Linked DNA regions of Drosophila melanogaster. The protein of the gene in region 1 purifies or fractionates together with the protein of each later gene. This does not show direct contact. Each region holds a gene or a part of one and is shown in the gene's direction. Other genes may lie near its edges.

What was found. The genes of interacting proteins can lie anywhere in the genome.
Region 2: the proteins of RfC3 (region 1) and Ku80 purify together in Drosophila melanogaster (affinity purification with mass spectrometry, with the first as the bait; one large-scale study listed by BioGRID). This does not show direct contact.

The regions. Positions count from the first base shown.
Region 1 is NT_033779.5:10,417,489-10,421,172, forward strand, and holds RfC3 (replication factor C subunit 3), read left to right. Parts: upstream 1-1,701; 5' UTR 1,702-1,776; coding exon 1,777-1,814; intron 1,815-1,870; coding exon 1,871-1,935; intron 1,936-1,991; coding exon 1,992-2,442; intron 2,443-2,502; coding exon 2,503-2,717; intron 2,718-2,779; coding exon 2,780-2,857; intron 2,858-2,912; coding exon 2,913-3,064; 3' UTR 3,065-3,124; downstream 3,125-3,684. Other genes in the region: Klp31E (Kinesin-like protein at 31E), read left to right, coding at 1-705, 769-850, 917-937; pie (pineapple eye), read right to left, coding at 3,340-3,684.
Region 2 is NT_033779.5:15,768,090-15,773,081, reverse strand, and holds Ku80 (Ku80), read left to right. Parts: upstream 1-1,922; 5' UTR 1,923-2,017; coding exon 2,018-2,032; intron 2,033-2,089; coding exon 2,090-2,185; intron 2,186-2,240; coding exon 2,241-2,473; intron 2,474-2,528; coding exon 2,529-2,651; intron 2,652-2,710; coding exon 2,711-4,343; 3' UTR 4,344-4,452; downstream 4,453-4,992. Other genes in the region: CG31826 (uncharacterized protein), read left to right, coding at 541-619, 679-1,054, 1,331-1,505, 1,562-1,738; wek (weckle), read left to right, coding at 4,851-4,976.

The DNA.
Region 1 (3,684 bases):
CGCACGACATAGATGGGAAAATCTGTACCGCAACATATTGCATGCGGCCAGAAACAGGCAACTGATCACGCAACTGGAGAAGGAGCTGGAACGTTTGATACTGGAGCGCGAAGATCTCTCTCGTGAGCTGAACATAATGGAAAACGGACAAACTGCTGACAGGCAAACGGATGAATTCAACGAAGTTGACAATCTCAAAACAAACATAAGTTATATTCAGGAGAATATAGAGCATGTGCAGCAGGCCATAATGGAGTTCGAGGACACAAAGGACACTGTGCAGAGCCATGTGAATAAGATACAAAGTCTGCTGGACGAGGTATCAACCGTGGCGGAAGCCAAATTCATCTTACAAAAGTTCTCCGACACCGCCATTGTCATGTCGTGCAATTTGGCCATTGCCGAATCTCATTTGCAGGAGAAGGAATCGCTGCTGAAGGAAGTTAAGCAAGAGAGCGGCATTCAGCAGCAAATACTGCAGCATTTCCTATCGCAAAACAGCAACGTTCATATAGCAGACATATTTGACTCCTTAAATCTCAAGGGCAGTAATATCGCAAGTAGTGTAAATCCAGGTTCACAAAAGTCTTTGATCAGCAACGCCACATACGACATCCCGCAAGACGACAAGAATTCCGAGTTCCATCAAGTGGAAATGCGCAGGACGACGAGTAGAAGTCCTTCGCCTCTAGGAAATTCCGATCCGTAAGACTGATTGTATTTCATATGTTTTGGATTAACTCTAAACAATATATATTCTTCCTTCAGCTTCGATAAGAGCCCCAAAGTGCGCAGACGTACCGCCAAGCGACAAGATCTGCTTTTTGGGGATACGGAACTTTCAGAACAGGTGAGCGTTACTCATTTTGAAAAATACCTGTTTCTAAATGACGAATATTATGATTTCATCCGCCAGACTTTTAATAAAATGACGTGATCGTGCAATCGAAGATGAGGTCATGTGACCAAAGACGCGGTTGGAATTGAAATATATTGATTGGTAGCCGCTTGGGAACAAATAATAAAAAGACAGTGTCAATAAGTTTCTAAGTTATTATTGTAACTATATTTATTCAAAACTAACTTACTAGTGCTTCCGTTTGTTTTTTTTGAATACCGAGCTAAGGTCTTGTGCAATTGGTGTCTTTGCAGTTGTTCAAAATAAACAAATTTTAGAAAATATTATAATAATGTATTAATAAATTTTATAAGAGACTTAGAACAATACCATGCCTTGAAATATACAACAAAAAACTTAATTTTATCTTTTCCTGTAAGAACAAAGTTCTTCAGCAGCTTTGTGCTAGGTACTAAAATGTTGACCCAAGTTTTGGAGATCCTATATTTTACAGTAAATGTAAATGAATCGATTTAAAAGCATATTCTAATAATAAAAATATATAGTATTGGCTAACATTGTGACCCTTATTAAAATATTGAAAAATTCAAAAAGTGTAATTAGGACAATGTAACAATAAACTGTATAACGTTATATTGAAATTTACAAAATGACTTTTCTTTTGTGGTTAAATAATATTATTTTTAATACATATTTGTAAATAGATTCGTTTGTAAAATTTTGAACTTGATAGCCTGCATGTGATAAAAATAAATCGATAGTCGAATGACCCCAACAAGTGTTTTCGATTACCATTTACTCTTCCGCTATCTTGACATTCATCGAGCTATCGATTTTTACCGGTAATTCGCATTTGCAACTCGCTTCCATGCGCATTTTATTGTATTAAATTTCTACCAATATATCAAATTATAGTTATGTCGGAAACCAGTGGACCCGCAGTGCGCATGCCTTGGTAACTTGTAATTAGATCTTGGAAATCCACAAGTAATACTATTTTCATTTCTTCAGGGTGGAAAAGTACAGACCAAGCGGTCTCGATGATTTGATATCTCACGAGGAAATAATATCAACAAGTGAGCATTCTGAGCGTTTAGCCATACAAAGCCACCACATTTAAGTGTACTTCTAGTAACCCGCTTTATAAGCCGCAAGCAGCTGCCCCATTTGCTGTTCTACGGACCACCTGGCACGGGAAAAACGAGTACAATCCTGGCCTGCGCTCGCCAATTGTATTCCCCTCAGCAGTTTAAGTCCATGGTCCTGGAGCTGAATGCCTCGGATGACCGAGGCATTGGGATTGTGCGCGGTCAAATCCTTAACTTCGCGTCCACACGCACCATTTTCTGCGACACCTTTAAGCTGATCATTTTGGACGAGGCCGATGCCATGACCAACGATGCCCAGAATGCCCTGCGCCGCATAATTGAGAAATATACGGACAACGTGCGCTTCTGTGTGATTTGCAATTATTTGAGCAAAATCATTCCGGCGCTGCAGTCGCGTTGCACCCGTTTTCGGTTCGCTCCATTATCCCAGGATCAGATGATGCCGCGACTGGAAAAAATCATCGAAGCCGAAGCGTAAGGTCTTTCAACTGCATAAAATAGCTTATTACTAACCTAAAATCTATCAACTATCAGCGTTCAGATAACTGAGGACGGCAAGCGGGCACTGCTGACCCTGGCCAAAGGTGATATGAGAAAGGTCTTGAACGTCCTGCAGAGTACCGTGATGGCATTTGATACGGTAAACGAGGATAACGTCTACATGTGCGTGGGCTATCCGTTGAGGCAGGATATTGAACAGATATTGAAGGCCTTGCTATCCGGCAGTAGCTTGGAGGACTCCTTCAAAAGTATGATGCGATTTGAAATGGCGAAAGATCAAAACTAATGATTCTTTCTTCTCTTTGCATAGCTGTCGAAAGTGCCAAGTACGCAAGAGGTCTCGCTTTGGAAGACATCATTACAGAATTGCATTTGTTTGTTATGAGACGTAAGTTTTTATCAAGTTATCATCAAGTCAAGTTATTGATATGTATTCCAAACAGTTGAGCTGCCTATGTCGGTCATGAACAAGCTTATTGTAAAGCTAGCTCAGATCGAGGAGAGATTGGCCAAAGGATGTACAGAAGTGGCTCAAACTGCAGCTCTGGTAGCCGCCTTCTTTATTTGCCGAGATATGGTTTCAATGGAGAAGTGAAACAATGTGTACTCCAATAATAGGTTAGAATTAAATTATAAATACAAAAACATAAAACACAATTTATTTACTGCATGCTTCTCTAGTTTAACAATCATTAAACCTTTTTAAAGTGGTTTCAGAGGTAGGAAATTTTTTTTTGTTTTTTTTTTTTTTTTGGATGATCATGCGAAACAATATATGCATAAAGAGACTAGAATTCTATGACGAATTAATTCCCACACAAGAGAATTGTTTAAAACATTAAGAACATTAAGAATTGTTTTAAACAATATTTAAGAGAACCCCTCTGATCTGTACCATTCGTGGAACTTCTCGATATGCTCAAAGATGCCGCGGTCCTCGCTGCGGCACCATACATCGTCTGGTGTTATGTTGACGCGTTCCAAAGCTGCCTGCGAGGTGTCCTGAATGCGCGGGTCATCCTCTTTAAATCGCAGCACACACGTACCAATGCACTCACCCATGCATGTGCCGTGCTCAAATTCGTAGATAACCAAGTAGAAAAATGGTTCGCCAGGGCATTGAAAGCCCGATTTTAGCACAAGTAAAGTATTTGGATCCTCTTTCGGCAGTGACGGTGAGTTGGGAGCTTTCGCCACAGCTTGTTCCTGCGGCTG
Region 2 (4,992 bases), 5.4 Mb from region 1:
TTTTCTCAACACCCGACTCCTTTGGCCACCCACCCACCTCCGTCATAATTGAATTGTGGCTAAGATACGTGGTTAGGTCAAGTTGATAACTTCAGCGAAGAAGAGGCCTTTGCAGCATTGATTAAATACCATTCGTTTAAGAAAGAATTCGTAAAGATTTAAAAAAATTTTAAAGAAATTATATTATTAGATTTGTTTATTATAATATCGATTTACTTTTCTAAAAGATTTTATTTACATACTAAAAGCAATAAATCACCATAGAAGCCAAGTTCAAGCTGAAAACTAGATATGTATTTCTAGGCAATTTGGAACCATTAGCAATTTGAGCACGCACCGGTTATAAAGCAAATAAACCATCTACACCAAATCGCATTTCATGGATACTTTAGTCAGTGAGCGTTGTTTGCGTTGCGAGTGCGGATCGTTAACGGATTGAGTGTGTAAATGTGAAACTTCTGGCTCTTGAAAAGCAACCGATCAAAATTCTATAACACCTTTGGACGATATTTCGTTCAAAATTCAAAGCCTAAACCCAAAATGCTTTTCCTCACCGCCCGTGTCGATCACACGGCCGAGCAGATTTTCAAAATTGAGCAACTCAGGCAGCTGGTGGAGAGTAAGCTAAATGCTGTGTGTGAATTCCTCGATTCGATCAGCCAGATGAAACTGTTTCAGAATGCGAGGACCTAAGAGTGGGCACCGAGGACACCCTGCTGACCAAGTTTCTGCACTACACGCGCTGGGACACAATCAAGGCCTATCAGGCCATACACGACTACTATGAGTTCAAGCGACGCCATCCCACCTGGGTGGCCCGTCATCCCATTGAGCACTATCGTCAGCTCTTCTACGGCACCCACTGTCGCTATGTTATGCCCCAGGCGGATCGCAGTGGACGGGTGCTGGTCGTCTTTAAGACGGTGGATGGGTTCCAGGACTATCCCGACTATCTGCAGAGTCTCGTCGAGATGGACGACCTGATCTTCGAGTCGCTGCTGCTGCTCCCGCGCGTCCAACAGAATGGGATTACGGTCATTTGTGATCTTCAAGGGTGTGTTATATCCTATAAAATTATTATTACACAAAAGTTACGCTTATTTATTCTCAATATTATCTTGATTAGTAGTATTACTTAGTATGTATAGTAAGATGAAAACGCATTTCAAGTATTATTTGTGTTTTTAAAAGTATATTTTACAGTTTAAATTTATTCAATGATTTTGTGAATTGAATCTAAAATATTTTTGAAAAATGGTATTTTTCTTTAATTTCTTTTCCCAATAGTCTATTTTTATTTATTTTTATTTTTCCGATTATTAAATTCCAGGACAAATCGAAATTTTCTCAGGCAATTTTCGCCGGCGTTTATGAAGGTGGTAAACGAAAAGAACGGAGTTCTGCCCTTCAGTCAGCGCATCGTGCATATAATACAACGAGGTTTCCTGATGCACGTAACCTCCACTTTGTTTATGCCCTTCATGAACAAGGAGTTCAAAGAAAAGGTAAAAAAAAATATAAGGATTTAATTTGTTCACTCTAAAAATGCTTCGTTTAAAAGATCTTTACCCACGATGGGCGACATCTGAGCAAGCTGCGCGAAATGGTTGGCTACGAAAGTTTGCCTGCGGAATATGGAGGTCCTGCGACGAATGTCCTCGATACGAACTTGATATTCAATCACCTGAGCCAGAATGCGGAGTATCTGGAAAAGCTGCAGACCTACGGAAAGGCATAGGGAGATATGGGGAACTATTGCTTACTATTTTATTAGTATTTTGAGCACGAACCAAATATATTGACTATTTATAATTAAAACAAAATTTTGCATTTCGTTTTTATGAAAAGTAACAGTTAGCAAGTAAGTTGGCAACGCGGTGCTAGAAATATCGATAAGCGATAGGTGGTAGTGCATTAGGTCAGTAAGCCGCCGGTGTTTTCTGTTATCGACTGAATGGTATTATTGTTGTGAAATTTAAAAACATAGTCGCTGAATTTAGGTAAATAAACTTGTTTGATGGCTTCTAACAAGGTAGGTTCACAAATAATCGCATTTAATGTTAAGGTATCTCCATTGTTTGATTTCCAGGAATGCCTTATAATTGTACTGGATGTGCGAACATGTGCCGCCGAAGAAGTGAAGCTGAAGTCCGCAAAATGTGTGGCGGAGATTCTTAAGGACAAGGTGTGTGAAATACAATTGGGAACTCAGTTAAATATGCTAACTGAAACAATTGCAGATCGTGTGCGATAGGAAGGACTACGTGTCCTTCGTCCTCGTGGGTTGCGACACCGATGAAATAAAAACTGAGGATGCTTCCCACCCAAATGTGCTGCCCTTTGGTGAACCAAGACTTTGCAGCTGGCAGCTCTTGCTGGAATTCTTCCAGTTTGTGAATAAGACAGCCTGCGAGGATGGAGAATGGCTAAATGGTCTACAGGCGGCCCTGGAGCTTCAGAATGTCGCAACTACGTATGTGACTTACCTTATCATCTAACCATCACATTTTATGGAATATTCCTTGCAGCTTGAGAGTCGCCAGGCGGAGGATCCTCCTGCTCTTCGATTTCAACGACTTTCCACAGGACTACGAGAAGTTCAACGAAATCACGGACGAATTACTTGGCGAAAACATCGAGTTAATTGTGGGGTAAGATTATTTATTTTGTTAAATGCATAATAGTAATAATAATTTACATTATCACTTAGAACTCACAACATAGCCTACATAGACAATGCCATCACTTCTCAGCCTCAGGCTATTTTCAACTTTTCGCGCAAATGCGGCCCCGATGAGCTGAATAACCAGAAGTACGCCCTCAGTCTCGTTCCTCGCTGCAATGCGACGTTGTGCAGCTTCAAGGAGGCACTGCATACCGTCTTCAAGGTGACCAACCGGCGACCCTGGGTGTGGAACGCAAAGCTGAACATCGGCAGCAAGATCTCCATTAGCCTGCAGGGCATAATCGCCATGAAGAACCAGACGCCCGTAAAGCTGGTAAAGGTCTGGGCGGAAAAGGATGAGATAGTGATACGGGAGACTCGTCATTATATCAAAGGCACTGAGATCACCCCGCTGCCGGAGAATCTGATAACCGGTTACATGCTGGGCGGCACTCCGGTGCCATACGACGAGGCCGTGCTAGAGCCAAAGGAACCACACCCACCTGGTCTCCACTTCTTTGGCTTTATCAAAAGAAATGCCGTGCCGGATGAGTACTTTTGTGGCGAGTCCTTGTACCTCCTGGTGCATCAGAAGCACAATCAATCTGCCGCCGTGAAGCTGGACGCTCTGGTGCGTGCTCTCGTTTCTTCGGATCGGGCCATACTGTGCTGGAAAATATATAGCACCAAGTTTAATAGACCGCAAATGGTTGTGCTACTGCCCCGCTTAGCAGACGATACCCATCCGGCTACTTTGTATATGCTGGAAGTTTCCTATACGTCTCAGCACCACTTCTGGGACTTTCCGGCACTGCGAACCACCAAGACGGAGTGCAGCGAGGAACAGCTGAATGCCATTGATCAGTTAATCGATAGCACCGATCTGGAGTGCACACTGCGGGACACGCAGCAGCCACGTCCGTGGGCGCAGAATGATCTGCTGCCGTTCGACGCACTTCCCAGCATCTTTGAGCAGAATGTCATGGACATCCTAGAGCGAAAAGTTATCTATGATAACGACAAGGAAGACAAAATGCTTAAGGACAAAAACTTCGCAGATGTATTCTGGCGAGTGCCAGATCCCTTGGAGGAGAAGTCAAAGAGAGCGGCAGCCATCGTAAAGAAGCTATTTCCATTGCGCTATAGTCGCGCCTGGCAGGAAAAGCTGTTGGCCAAGGAGCAGGCAGAGAATGGTGTGGCAGTCAAGTCGGAACCAGCGGAGAAGGAAATCCCGTTGCCATCAGACGGTGTGGGCTTAATTGATCCAATCTCTGATTTCAGGCGAGTCCTGGCTAGCGTTCACACAATCAGTAATGCCACTGAGCGAGATGCCCGCTTTCAGGCGCTGGCTGCCGATACCCGCGTGGTGATCATCACACTGCTGCAGCGCAGGAAACAGAACATCGGGCAACTGGGCGAGCTCATCACCCTGTACCGACAGAGCTGTATAGACTTCAACACCTTTTTGGAATACGACAAGTTCGCTGAGGAGCTGAAGAAGATCGCGCTGGCCAAGAATCGCAGCGAATTCTGGCAAGACGTTATGGTCGACAAGCAATTGGGCCCTTTGGTGCTTGGCGAGCCGACGCTGGACGACGAATTGGCTCTAAAAGCCTATTACACCATCGAGAATTGGGTGGAGAGTGGGGCGAACGATATGGAAGACGTTGAGATGTAGTTTATCATTCCATTTTGTTATATTAAGCAAATGTGCTAAAATTAGTTTTTGTTATACACAGTTTTTCTTATATGTAAGTCGAAAATAAATTATTATATTGTTTATATATATATACCAGAGTAAAAACTCGGTCGCATGTTTTAAAAACAACATTATATCCCTGGGAAACCACATCCAAATGATGATGATAATACATCTCTATGTTAATAAACATCGACACGCAGGAAGGAAAACGTTAGTAATACTTCTTATGATTGAGAAAAAAAAGTAAAATAAATACAATTTTCAATTCCAAATTTAAACTGAATACTTTTTGAAAATGGCGGCAACAACTTGTTGTTTTGCACTTATCGATATTTCCAAAAATCATCGGAGTGCGCATACCAATTAATCGATTCGGAATTCCGCTCCATACAGCTGATTTTAATCAGCGCTTTGGCAATAGAATTTAGTCAAAACCCGAGGGCATACTGTACCAAACTGTGGGGCTTCTGTTGAGGATTAGCCATGGGAGTTCCCACAAGCGATTGGATATACTGGTGTCGCCTGTGCGCCCGCGACGACGTTGTATACAAAGTGCGCGAGCGGGACGACGATCTGGTTAGGATTATCAGCAAATGCTTTGATGTGGAGGTATGTTATTCGTTTT